3 linked regions of the Macaca mulatta genome follow. The protein of the gene in region 1 interacts with the protein of each later gene in a pairwise test. Links are inferred from orthologs where the notes say so. Each region holds a gene or a part of one and is shown in the gene's direction. Other genes may lie near its edges.

Region 1 (4,021 bases):
TTTATGTGACACAGGCGCTCTCAGAAAGGAAGAGTTAAATTATAACATATCCATATTATGCGTTAGTATGTGTCCACAACTAACGCATATTATGGATATGTTATAATTTAACTGTTCATTCCTCTTTTGATGGATGCTGAAATCGTCTGTATAATTTTCTTGTAAGAAATAATGCCTTGGGGTGGGGGGGTCTTCCTTTCTGAGGCTATCATTTATATTCTTCACTTCTTAAATTTGATATGTTGAGGCTAAAAAAAAAGATTACGGGTCTTCAGAACGCCCCAATGCCCGGGGCTGCTGGGGTACCTCGGAGTTTGTCAACGTGTAGCTTAAAATGTTAATTCCCATACTCGCTACCAAATATTCGATTAAGGCTTCTGTAGTTCTTATAAGTCACTCGCTTTCTTTCAGGAGGAATCCTAAAGATTAAGAGCGGCAAGAAGTCAAGAGTCTGCCCACCCTCCGAGCTCTCTTAGGGCGATGTCCTTGCTCATTTGGAGACTGATTCAGTCCCCTTTAGGCCCCCAAATTACATAAAGATGAGGACTTTGGAGATGTTTTCTCAGGAAGGGCAGAACTGTAAAAACACAGTTCCGTAAGCCTGGCCGGTAGCTACATCTTTCCTTCCTAACAAAGAATAAGCCGCAATTCACTCTCCGGCACCTGAACTTTGGGGTAACGATTAACTGCGATCCCAAGCCTTCAGGCAAGTAAAAAAAAATCCTGAAATGATTACGCCTGTTTGGAGGTTTGCAAGGCACTAGGGTATGGGGGAAGTGAATCGAGGTGCTCTCCGGTTCATTCCCAGCCAGCTAACAACCCGCCATATCTAACACAGCTAAGAGCTGCCGACGCCATTTTGCAGGGTGGGCTACGCAGACTCTTGGCGGGAGGCCGGAGCGCTTGAGCGGGAGAGGACGTGGAAGTGTTGGAGGTGGGGAGCGCGCGTTACGACTGGAAAGCACGCGTGCGCACAGGCGACAGCGGTGGAGGGGTGGGGCCAGTGTACGAGTGCGCGTGCTCGGTGGGAGCCCGCGGAGTACCTGGAAGGAGGTGGGGGGCGAGGTAGAAAGGAGTGTGGTTGAAGAGCGCTTGCGCAGGAGGGCTACGGTACGGGGGTGGGAAGGCTCCGGAGCACGCGCGCGGAGGCGGGACTTGAGAAGCGCTCGCGAGATCTTCAGGGGCTATATATAAGCGCGGGGAGCTTGCGTCCTTTCCCTGGTGTGATTCCGTCCTGCGCGGCTGTTCTCTGGAGCAGCGTTGGTTTATCTCCGTCCGCCTTCTCTCCCACCTAAGTGCGTGCCGCCACCTGATGGAAGATTCGATGGACATGGACATGAGCCCCCTGAGGCCCCAGAACTATCTTTTCGGTAACTGCAGGGGGGAGCTGGAGCGAGGCCGAGCGGGGCCTGGTGGCGGTGAAGGCGGGGGTGAGGGGAGGGAATACGGCTGCAGCAGGGTCTGGTGGAGACCGCCAGACCGGCTGGAGGCCTGAGCGGGTGGGAAGAGCTGCCCGAGCCCTGGACCTGGTGGGATTGGAGCCGCGGGGGGAGCCGGAGGCGTGAAGGGGGAGGAGACGAGCGGCCTGAAGCGCCTGGAGCGTGAGCAGTCCGAGGCCCAGGGCCTGAGGTGTAGCGGAACTGGCCGCCTGGAAGTTCGGCCGTTGCCGGGGATACGCCGCGGAGCCCCAGGCGTGGTTTATTTTCTAACGGAGTTCGTTCGTAGGCTTCTGATCCCAGGCCCCGGGTTGGTGGTCCCGGAGGCTGGGTTTACCGGGAAGCATGGGCCTGCTTGTTGGAGAGGGTAGATGCACAGCCTGGCGTTGTTCTGACCTCAGAGTCTGGAGCTGCCGGACCCAGATTTCACTCGCGTGCTTCGGCCAGTTACTGGGGGAGGGGAGGCGCGGCGCGGCGTGAGGCGGCCGCAACCGCTGGGAGCACGTGGTTGCCACGTGGTTGGGGGAGGGAGGGGGGTGTGGGCACTACATCCGGGGCTCACCAGCATGTTGCTACTCCAGATCAAGGGATGCTGTGGCTCAGTTGAAGTGGGAAATGTTAAGAGGCTGGTAACACTAGGATTCTGGAGGCCTTTGTTCAGTGCTTACAGCATCTACTGTGATGGCAGCTCTTTTTTTTTTGAGCCCCTTTTCTGTCTCACTGCAGTAGCTGGAGCTAGCCCCACTTTGCAGATGACGGCACTGGTGCCCAGAGATTAACTCACTTAACGAAGGTTGTACTTATAGGCAAAGAGGCTAAAACTAAACCAAGACCCTTGACTCGTAGCTGCTGCTTCGTGAATATTAATGAGGCTTCGTTTTAGGGGGACGTCCTCGCATGCCGCCATTTGTGCAGCATTGACCAAACCGCTTATTTAAATACAAGAAACAAGTAGAGTGTTCGATTTGAGTCAGATCAAGACCTAAAACTATTCGCAGAATTTTGGGACCACCACCCCCTTCGACTTGCGGTAGCCCTGCCCCAAAAAGGAGAGTCCCACTTGGGTTTTTAATGTCAGTAGGTTTAATTACAGAAGCCTAATCTTTGTGTACTATTCGGACTTTGAAGTAAGTGCGAATCCTACCGTGAATTTTATCTTGTTCATTATCCGTGCTGAGATTTGTTAATTAAACCTCTTCACATTTAAGCGTGTATATGTATTGGTAACAGATGGTAGTTAAATGGAATTATTTAAAATTTTTATTCTGACAGTATTTTAAAGAATTTTGCCCATGCATGGATGGAGTGGCAGTAGACACATGTATTTAAAACATTAAGGCTTTAATTCCTAGCTGTTTTGGATAACTGAGAATTCTGATAAATTTATATCAGTACTTTTTGATAACTGTTGGAAACAATCCTCCTTGTCTTAAACATAGTTTCTGAATATAGTTTCAGGCGTATGTCACTTTCTGTTGCTTTAAAGAGTAGAGTGTTGACCCCTGTAGCAAGCTTTGGTTCTTTTACCTTTGTCGTTTTTCTTTTGTAATAGTAAGCTATTCATGTTTGTAACCGTTCTCATTTCGAACTTTCCATTTGGGAATTTAGGTGGGTAAATCAGCTGTTTTAAATAGTGGGAAACTTAACATTGGACATTACATTTGGTTTCAGGTAATTGTTTTAGGTTCAGATTTACTAAACCGTTGAGCTCGTTTCTGTATGCAGAATAACAGTGCCTATCAGCGTAGAGATGAAATATGGTATGAGGAGAAAATAGAATTGTAGACTTCTATGGGTGTTACTTGTTTGTAGAGGTTTCTGTTCAAGAAATCGTGGAATTGATCATTCTGCTTTGCCCTCTGGTAGCTAAAATTGTGAAAAACTAGTTCAAAAGTTAGACCTGACCTTTTTGGTTACCCACACTTAAGTTTCAGTGTTATTTTTCTCCTTGTTAGAGTTGCTTTTTTCTTCATTTACAGGTTGTGAACTAAAGGCCGACAAAGATTATCACTTTAAGGTGGATAATGATGAAAATGAGCACCAGTTATCTTTAAGAACGGTACTTAAACTTTCAAAATAAACTACTTAACCCTACTTGATTTCAGCCTTTTAGTTTCTATTCATGTGGCTTGAGACTTTTCCTTTGCTGACTGCTTATAAAATACTATTTCTTACACCTGGGTATTGTGTGTACCTCACTGTCTGTACATCTTTGATGAAGAACTTGGCATCTATACTCATTTGGTAACCATGTAAAATCCAGTCACATCGTTAAACTTGCCTTATTTTCTTCAGTTGGATTATAAAGCCCTTGTAAAAGGCATCGATAATCTTACATGTCTACCAGAGACTAGCTTTTCTCTCAACTTAGAAGTTGCTCAATAAATAAGTTAGGTGATCTATATTGTGTGTATGCATATTTATGCATTTCTTAAATTTTCTGAATATGAGAAATTGATTTGCCAAGATCACAAAACCTGAGGATAACATTGCACAGATTTGTTTTCTGAGGTAACAGTGATAGGTTTATACTTGTATTTTTAAAAAATCATAGTCATGTGCCTCATTGCAACTGTTGGGTCAAC
Region 2 (4,058 bases), on another chromosome or scaffold:
CCAAAGCCAAAGAAAGCGGTCAAGGCCCTTCCATTCATCCACACATAACTCTTTATTGTTTTAATTTGAAACACCTCTTCAAAACATATTTTCCAATCTTCCATTTTGGAGCTCAAAATCAAATATGGGCGACCTGTAAGTAATAAAGCAAAAATTATGCTACTCTTTTATGTGCATGAGTCCAATATGCACTTTTTGGGGGGAAGCACATAGCCAAATGGAGAAAAAATAACACCTAAAATTATTTGTCAAGAGTCCTAATGTGTTGGAAAGTAAGTTAAAACATTTTACCCCAACATACGCTTGTATAGCTACTGTAAGAATTTCTATATTCACTATACCGTGTACTTATTTTTCAGGACTTTTTCCATATTTTTGCAACTCTTTCTGCCCCTTTAAATTAAAACTTATTATAATAACAAAACTGTGCTTCCCCAAACCAAGAAATATACACAGTTCCCAAAAACCCGGATTCTTTGTGGTGTTGAGATGAGAAGCTGAAATATTTGGCCTCTACTATAGAAGTCCCATTGATTAAAACACCCGGAAAAAATACGGAAAGAAAAATCAGTAAGAGTTTGTGTCGAACCGCCAAGAAATAACAACAAAAAAAAGAGGCCCTGAGCAACGGAGGAAATGAAGGACTTTCCCGACCTGTCACTGGTATTGGGGGCTGAGGGAAACGTTGACAGCTTTGAAGCTGCCCCGCGACGAGCGGGAAAGAGGAGGGCGGGGAGTTTCCGGGCCTTAGTGCGCCTTTGTCTGCCGGCAGGTGCGACAAAGCTACTGGGCCCATCGGGAGGCCCGCCGCCGTGCCCCGCCCAACCCCGCGCGCCCGGCCCGACCGGCGCGTCCCCACAGCCGGGGCGGGGCCTCCGCGGCGGCTCCCGCCCGCCAGGGCCCACACAAAGGCCCGGCAGCTGGCCGAGGGGGAGCGGCCCCACCCGCCCTGGGCCCGGCCTTACCCAGCCGCTCCGCCGCCTGCAGCCCCGGCCGCGGTCACCGACCGCCGCGCCCCGCCCCGTGGCCGCCACGGCTGCTGCTATTGCTCCTCCGGCCGCGGCCGCTGCCGTCGCTCCGGCACCCGCCGCCCTCACCTCCCTTACCCCTCCCGGTGCCGCCGCAAAACCAGTCCCGCGGCCGCCAAGCGATCCCTGCTCCGCGCGACACTGCGTGCGCGCGCACGCAGAGAGGCGGTGACGCACTTTACGGCGGCAGCGTAAGTGCGTGACGCTCGTCAGTGGCTTCACTTCACACGTGGCGCTAGAGGAGGCAGGGTGTCGTGCTCGTGCCGCTTTCTACAGCCAACATGAAGCGGCCTAGTAAGTGGGGTCGGGAAGCGGGCGTGGAGGGACCCATGTCTGGAAGTTGCTGCAGCCTCCACGACGCTCTTTTACGGCTACGGCTTTGTCTCTGCTGATATAGGGGTGAGAGCCTACGCGTAGGCCTTGGCCCTATTTTCTCGTAGGACCGAGAGTTGGAAGTCCCTACGGCGATCATGTTAACCGCGCGGGCTCATTCTGTGGAACGAAGACGGGCAGAGGGTGGGAAAGACTAGGCTAGATTTTCGTAAGGAAGCAGCTTCTGAGCCAGGTTTCAGGCCCAATATCTTACTTTCCGTGGCCACGTGCAGGCTGGCCCAGGTGAGAGCTGAGAATCGCCTCCCAGACTCAGTGTTCCTCTCCTGCCTTATGATTCGTGCTGTTTGACACAAAGTGGCTGTCGTTTTGGGTCTCATAAACGCTCGTACACGCTGCTGTGTATGATCCTATTCTGATATTGTAAGAGTAGGTGCAGGGAACTTGGACTCCGTTCTGGATCTACTGAATCTAATTCTCTGGAATTTGAAAGTGGCATGTATGTTTGCATTAGGCATTTCGCATTAGTCTTAACGTTAGGTTTGGCAGCCAATAACACGAGAAAAGGATATAACTCCATAGTGCGTTAACCCAGAACTAATCATTTGCGTTAACAGATTTGTGATGTTTCTTTGTAGAGTTAAAGAAAGCAAGTAAACGCATGACCTGCCATAAGCGGTATAAAATCCAAAAAAAGGTAAGTGTAGTGCTTGAGAGAGCTATACTAAACACTGCTAAACTGATTTTGCCCTGTTCCTTTGCGGGAAAGTCCGGGTTAATGTGATTTGGTTTCGGAAAATGGCATTGGATAGACTGACCATGGGCACGAGCTCTTAGGCATCAGGAGTGCAGCTGTGAGAAAGTGCAGTGATTTGGTGGTAAGTCTCTAAATTTGTTCAACATGTTAATCTCTGCATAGAGAGCCTTCTAGTTACATTTTCTTACTGTTTTATACTTACCTATGCATTACTTTGTAAGATTCCAACTAAAGCTCCATTTTCCTATTACATTTTATAGGCATAACTAAATTGCAGCCAGATTGGTTTCTCACTTGAATTCTGCTTAAGTATAAAGATATTTTTGTAAGCAGACAAAATCTCTTTAATAGGTTCGAGAACATCATCGAAAATTAAGGAAGGAGGCTAAAAAGCGGGGTCACAAGAAGCCTAGGAAAGACCCAGGAGTTCCAAACAGTGCTCCCTTTAAGGAGGCTCTTCTTAGGGAAGCTGAGCTAAGGAAACAGAGGGTAAGTTATGTTAGCCAGAATTTTCAACGAGTGGTATAGTGTGTTATGTGTGATATTTTTCAGAGTAAGGTAACAACACTAGTCACTGGTTCATCTATTTCCCTTACGGCTCTGACACAGCTTGAAGAACTAAAACAGCAGCAGAAACTTGACAGGCAGAAGGAACTAGGAAAGAAAAGAAAACTTGAAACTAATCCTGATATTAAGCCATCAAATGTGGAACCTATGGAAAAGGTATGATTAGGTCTCTTTATGAATGAGAGATCAGGGGTTTTGATTTTGTTTTTGTTGCTTGGGCCTGAGTGCAGTGGCACAATCACAGCTCACTGCGACCTCGACCACCCAGGCTCAAGCAGTCTTACCACCTCAGTCTCTGAGGAGCTGGGACTACAGAAGCACACCATCATGCCTGGCTAATTTTTTTTAGTAGACACGGGCTTTCACTATATTGCCAAGGCTGGTCTCAAACTCTTGGACTCAAGTGATCCACCCACCTCAGCCTACCAGTTTCTGGTATTACAGGTGTGGGCTGTTGCGCCTGGCTGAGAGATGAGTTCTGGTGCAGAAATAAAAGCACATCTACAGGCTGCTGAGCTTCTTGGGAGGAAGACAACTGAGTTCAGACTCCATCTTACCTATTTAACAACTGCAAGTGCTGCTACTCAGCTGTGGAAAATGGAGATAGAGGTTACTACTGCTCTACTTCTAATTTTGTGTCCTTTTCCCCTTTATCCTCTAGGCATTTGGGCTTTGCAAAACTGAGAACAAAGCCAAGTCAGGAAAACAGAATTCAAAGAAGCTGTACTGCCAAGAACTTAAAAAGGTATCTTAGCCTAGGTCAGTGTCTGACAGTAGTAATGAGGTTTAAAAGACTCAAGTCATTTTTTTTTTAACCTTTTAAGATCAAGGGTACATGTGCAGGTTTGTTACATGGGTAAACTTGTGTCGTGGGGGTTTGTTGTACAGATTATTTCATCACCCAGGTATTAAGCCTAGTACCAATTAGTTACCTTTCCTGATCCTCTCCCTCCTCCCACCTTCCACCAACAAATCATTTCATGACTCGACTCTAACTTATGCTGTTTAATGCCTTTCCTGCTATGTTTACCTGACAAATAGTTTCTTTGGTTCTAAATATTTGCACAAAACTGGTTCTGCCTGTAAGCATGATTTACAACATTTTTTTAAAAAATGTTGACATAGTGTTGAGATTGAGAAAAGTACATTGGAGTAAGCAATGTCAGGCTAAGGGTCTCTACTCTGTTGAAACCTAAGTGAAAGAGGACAAGAGGGTACTGTCTCCTTGGTGTAGTTGCTCTCCAGCACTCCCATCCCCAACATCCATTTTCCCAAGCTCACTCCCCCGTGGATAGAACCTGACTGCCCCTCAGCAGCTTTTGGCAAGGCCAGAGGGACCTACCAAACTACATAATTCACTATGGGAGGATTCAAAG
Region 3 (4,224 bases), on another chromosome or scaffold:
TCATAGTAATATGTTGAGTGAAAAAAGCAAGTAACAAAGGACAACAAATCATATGATGCCCTCTACATAAAAGTTCAAAACTGGCCGGGCGCGGTGGCTCAAGCCTGTAATCCCAGCACTTTGGGAGGCCGAGGCTGAGGTCAGGAGTTCGAGACCAGCCTGGCCAACATGGTAGAACCCCGTCTCTACTAAAAAAATACAAAAATTAGCCAGGAGTGGTGGTTGGCCCCTTTAAATCCCAGCTACTTGGGAGGCTGAGGGAGGAGAATCACTTGAACCCGGGAGGTGGAGGTTGCAGTGAGCTGAATGCCACTGCACTCCAGCCTGGACGACAGAGCGAGACTTCATCTCAAAAAAAAAAAGTTCAAAACTAAGGAAAACCAAACAATATATTGTGTAGGCATGCAGATATGAGTAATTTTTTTTTTTTTAATACAGAATTCTGGCCCAGGCGTGGTGGCTCATGCCTGTAATTCCACTTTGGGAGGCTGAGGTGTGAGTATCGCTTGAGCCCAGGAGTTTGAGACCAGCCTGGGCAACACAGCAAGACCCATCTCTAGTTATAATTAATTAATTAATTTAAGAAAATACAGAATTCTGGCCCAGCGTGGTGACTCATTCCTGTAATCCCAGCACTTTGTGAGGCCAAGGTGGAAGGAAAGTTGAGCTCAGGAGTTCAAGGACAGCCTAGACAACAAGGTTAAACCACTTCTCTACAAAAAAATACAAAAACTTAGCCAGGCATGGTGGTGTGCTCCCATAGTCCCAGCTATGCAGGAGGCTGAAGTGGGAGGATTGCTTGATCCTAGGTGGTAGAGGCTGCAGTGAGCCAAGACTGTGCCACTACACTCCAGCCTGGGCGACAGAGCGCGAGCCTGTCTCAAAAAATAAATACATACAATACAATACAATACAACGCAGAATTCTGCACGGTGGTGGTCCCTTAAGTTTTGCAATGGGTACACGGGTGTTTATGGTATTAATTTAAAAGTTATAAATATACATGAATTTTAAGAAGAGGATCCATGCAAGGTTTAATGATAATTGTATGTCATCCATTCGCTCAACTGAAGTCGGCCTTCCCCGCCCCCTGCCAAAAGTAAACACTTTTCTAATCAGGGCCAGCCACTGGAGAAACTGAAATGAGTGGGCGGGGTGCTAACTCTATTTTCACTTTTCTCTTCCTGTTTCTTCAGAGCCTGGGAAACAAGTCAGAATTTCCAGTCTTTTCCAATTCCCACATGATTTCCTAATTCAAGACGAATTCAGAGAAAATAAGTCTTTCTCCATCTGGAGAAGACTCCGCCCCCTGGAGCATCCTCCTTCGGGGATGAGGCCTGAGGTGGGGCTGCGCCAGCCCCAGCCCCCACAAGGACGCGCCTTGGGCTTGGTCTTGGGGGAGCTACCCGCACTGTGGGGTCACATGACAGAATTAGTGGTCAGCCCTAGCTGGAGGTCCAGGGCAAACACAGGCGGGGGCAGTGGGGTTGGGGGTTGTGGCCCTGCTGATTCGAGTGTCCCCTGTGGGTTCCGGACCTTCTGAGATACAAGCGCCAGGCTTCAGAGACGAAGCTCCGGGGTTTACCCCTGGGGACCCCCTGCTCCTGCAGCCGCTGAGGGCCGGCAGTTTGGCTGCATAGTAAGCTGGCGCTTTAGCTGGAGAGGGACGAGCTCTCGGCCAGCTCGCCAGCGGGAGGGCCTCAAGTTGTCCCATCCGGGCTGCAGGCTCCGCAAAGCTCCCTGATGCACTGTCAGAGGGGGAGGTCCGGCCGCTCCCCTTCCCCTACAGCCGCATCTAGAGTGGGGTAGGTTGGACATTTTAACGTGCTTCTGAGACAGTCACCACCGAAAGGCACCTTTAGCGATGAGGAAACCGGCGTGGAGTTCAACCACCCGGCCTCTGCGGAGCAGAAGGCCCGACTGGGCCTTTCCCTGCGCGGGGCGGGCGGCCGCAGCCCCGTAGCCCGGGCTTTGCTCCAGACCCGGCCCAGAGTGACATCACCAAACTCCGCCGATCGGTGGGAGGGGGCCCTGAAATCCCCTAAAAACAAAGTGAGTAATCGGCGGACCCGCCCTCCAGGCGGGGCCGGGACCCGGGAGCTAGCCGAACCACCGGGCACACCAGCCTCTTCGTCTCCGGCGACGCGCGCACTTGGCCCCGGCCCCCGGCAGCGGCTGTGCGCGCGGCCTCTTCGTCCTCCGCGCGGCGCGCACTTGCTCCCGGCCCCTTCGCCGGGCGGCGGCGGGGCAGCGCGCAGGCGCGGCCGGATTCCGGGCAGTGACGCGACGGCGGGCGCGCGCGGCGCATTTCCGCCTCTGGCGAATGGCTCGGCTGTAGTGCACGCCGCGGGCCCAGCTGCGACCCCGGCCCCGCCCCCGGGACCCCGGCCATGGACGGTGAGGTCGCCCTCTGACCCCGCGGGGTGGCCGCGCCGGGACCGCCCCGGCTGTGGCGGGAGGCCCCGCGCCGCTTTCCGCCCCTTCCTGCGCCGACTGGCGCTGCGCAGGGAGCGGTCGGCCTGCCGGATGGTGGCGCGGGGCGGGGCAGGCGGGGAGGGGTCTGACTCAGTTTCCCCTCTGGGTGGAGGGGGGCCCTTGACTCAGCATCCTCCCTGGGTGGGGGAGCAGAGGGAGCCTTGACTCAGTTTCCCTCCACACCGTCCATGGGGGCAGCTCTGGCTTCGTTTCCCTATTAGGGGAGAACGCATCTGATTCAGTTTCCTCTCTGGATGGAGGTGGGGCGTGCCCTCCCTCAGTTTTCCTTATGAAAGTACAACAGGCCCTGATTCGGCTTCCCTCGGGAGAAGGATTCCTTACCCCGTTTTCCCTCAAGAAGCAGGTGTTTCTGGTTCCTTTCCTCCACTCCTTAGTTTCACCGCAGGTTCTAGGAAGCAGGTCCTTACTCAGTTCCCCTGGGAGGGAGCCTGGCTTCTCTTCTCTGTGGAGAGCAGATACTCCCTTGTGAGGATGGGCAGTGGGTGTGTGCTGACCCTGATCTCCCTCCCCTTTCAGAACTGTTCCCCCTCATCTTCCCGGCAGGTAAGTGGCCCCCGCAGCAGTCCGGGAGGTGTTCCCTGGGGTAGGGCAGCGGGGGCAGCTGTCTAATGGGCCTGCGGTGTCCCCTGGCAGAGCCAGCCCAGGCCTCTGGCCCTTATGTGGAGATCATTGAGCAGCCCAAGCAGCGGGGCATGCGCTTCCGCTACAAGTGCGAGGGGCGCTCCGCGGGCAGCATCCCAGGCGAGAGGAGCACAGATACCACCAAGACCCACCCCACCATCAAGGTCAGCACTGCACCAGGGTGTGCGGGGAAGGGACTGTGGAACCCCAGCCCTCTGTGTTTGGGAGTCAGGTTTGGATGTCTGGGCCTCTGTACTTTGGACAGATCAATGGCTACACAGGACCAGGGACAGTACGCATCTCCCTAGTCACCAAGGACCCTCCTCACCGGCCTCACCCCCACGAGCTTGTAGGAAAGGACTGCCGGGATGGCTTCTATGAGGCTGAGCTCTGCCCGGACCGCTGCATCCACAGGTGAGCTCCCTGCAGGCTAGGAGGCCCAGCATGAGGGAACAGGAGGCGGGCTATGAAGTAGCCGCTACAGTGTTACTCCTTTCTGGACACAGGGCAGAGTTGCTTACTTCTTGCTCTGACTCAGCTCTGCAAGTAAACTCTCTTTGTCTTGAAATGATCTATTTGTACCTCTACTCTAGCACAGATAAGAGCTCCAAGGGATATGGATGGGTCCCTAATCACTTCTGAATCCCTGACCCCTGTAGCTGGAAGGACAAGTCCCTTGGAGTCATGTCTCTTGTTTGAGAAAGAAAACCACTGAACCAACACTCTCCCCTGGAGGTGACATTGCAGTTGACAGAAACAGGCCTTAAAAAAATATACAGGCCAGGCATAGTGGCTCATGCTTATAATTCTAGCACTTCCGGAGGCCAAGGCAGGAAGATCTCTTGAGCCTGGGAGTTCAAGACTAACCAAGGCAACATAGTGAGACCCTATCTCTACAAAAAAATAAGAAATTAGCTGGGTATGGTGACTTGTGCCTATAGTCCCAGCTACTTGGGAGGCTGATGTGGGAGGATCACCTGAGCCCAGGAGGTCACCGCTATGGCAAGCTATGATTACACCACGACACTTGGGTAGCAGAGCGACACCTTGTCGTGTTTTTTTTTTTTTTTTGAGACGGAGTCTTGCTCTGTCCCCAGGCTGGAGTGC

What was found. The genes of interacting proteins can lie anywhere in the genome.
Region 2: the proteins of NPM1 (region 1) and GNL3 interact in a two-hybrid assay, tested with the Homo sapiens proteins (2 studies listed by BioGRID, with this or other methods). The link is inferred for Macaca mulatta from reciprocal best matches to the Homo sapiens genes NPM1 and GNL3.
Region 3: the proteins of NPM1 (region 1) and RELA interact in a two-hybrid assay, tested with the Homo sapiens proteins (2 studies listed by BioGRID and IntAct). The link is inferred for Macaca mulatta from reciprocal best matches to the Homo sapiens genes NPM1 and RELA.

What each region holds. Positions count from the first base shown.
Region 1 is NC_133411.1:180,245,353-180,249,373, forward strand, and holds the start of NPM1 (nucleophosmin), read left to right. Parts: upstream 1-1,216; 5' UTR 1,217-1,312; coding exon 1,313-1,370; intron 1,371-3,415; coding exon 3,416-3,495; intron 3,496-4,021. UniProt on the Homo sapiens protein: Involved in diverse cellular processes such as ribosome biogenesis, centrosome duplication, protein chaperoning, histone assembly, cell proliferation, and regulation of tumor suppressors p53/TP53 and ARF.
Region 2 is NC_133407.1:116,244,215-116,248,272, forward strand, and holds the start of GNL3 (guanine nucleotide-binding protein-like 3), read left to right. Parts: upstream 1-1,248; 5' UTR 1,249-1,309; coding exon 1,310-1,322; exon of another isoform or gene 1,323-1,427; intron 1,428-1,996; coding exon 1,997-2,055; intron 2,056-2,466; coding exon 2,467-2,604; intron 2,605-2,724; coding exon 2,725-2,838; intron 2,839-3,343; coding exon 3,344-3,427; intron 3,428-4,058. UniProt on the Homo sapiens protein: May be required to maintain the proliferative capacity of stem cells. Stabilizes MDM2 by preventing its ubiquitination, and hence proteasomal degradation.
Region 3 is NC_133419.1:8,726,866-8,731,089, forward strand, and holds the start of RELA (transcription factor p65), read left to right. Parts: upstream 1-1,414; 5' UTR 1,415-1,743; coding exon 1,744-1,805; exon of another isoform or gene 1,806-2,052; intron 2,053-2,277; exon of another isoform or gene 2,278-2,390; coding exon of another isoform or gene 2,391-2,397; exon of another isoform or gene 2,398-2,423; intron 2,424-2,870; exon of another isoform or gene 2,871-3,012; coding exon of another isoform or gene 3,013-3,039; intron 3,040-3,097; coding exon 3,098-3,281; intron 3,282-3,349; coding exon of another isoform or gene 3,350-3,382; coding exon 3,383-3,531; intron 3,532-4,224. UniProt on the Homo sapiens protein: NF-kappa-B is a pleiotropic transcription factor present in almost all cell types and is the endpoint of a series of signal transduction events that are initiated by a vast array of stimuli related to many biological processes such as inflammation, immunity, differentiation, cell growth, tumorigenesis and apoptosis.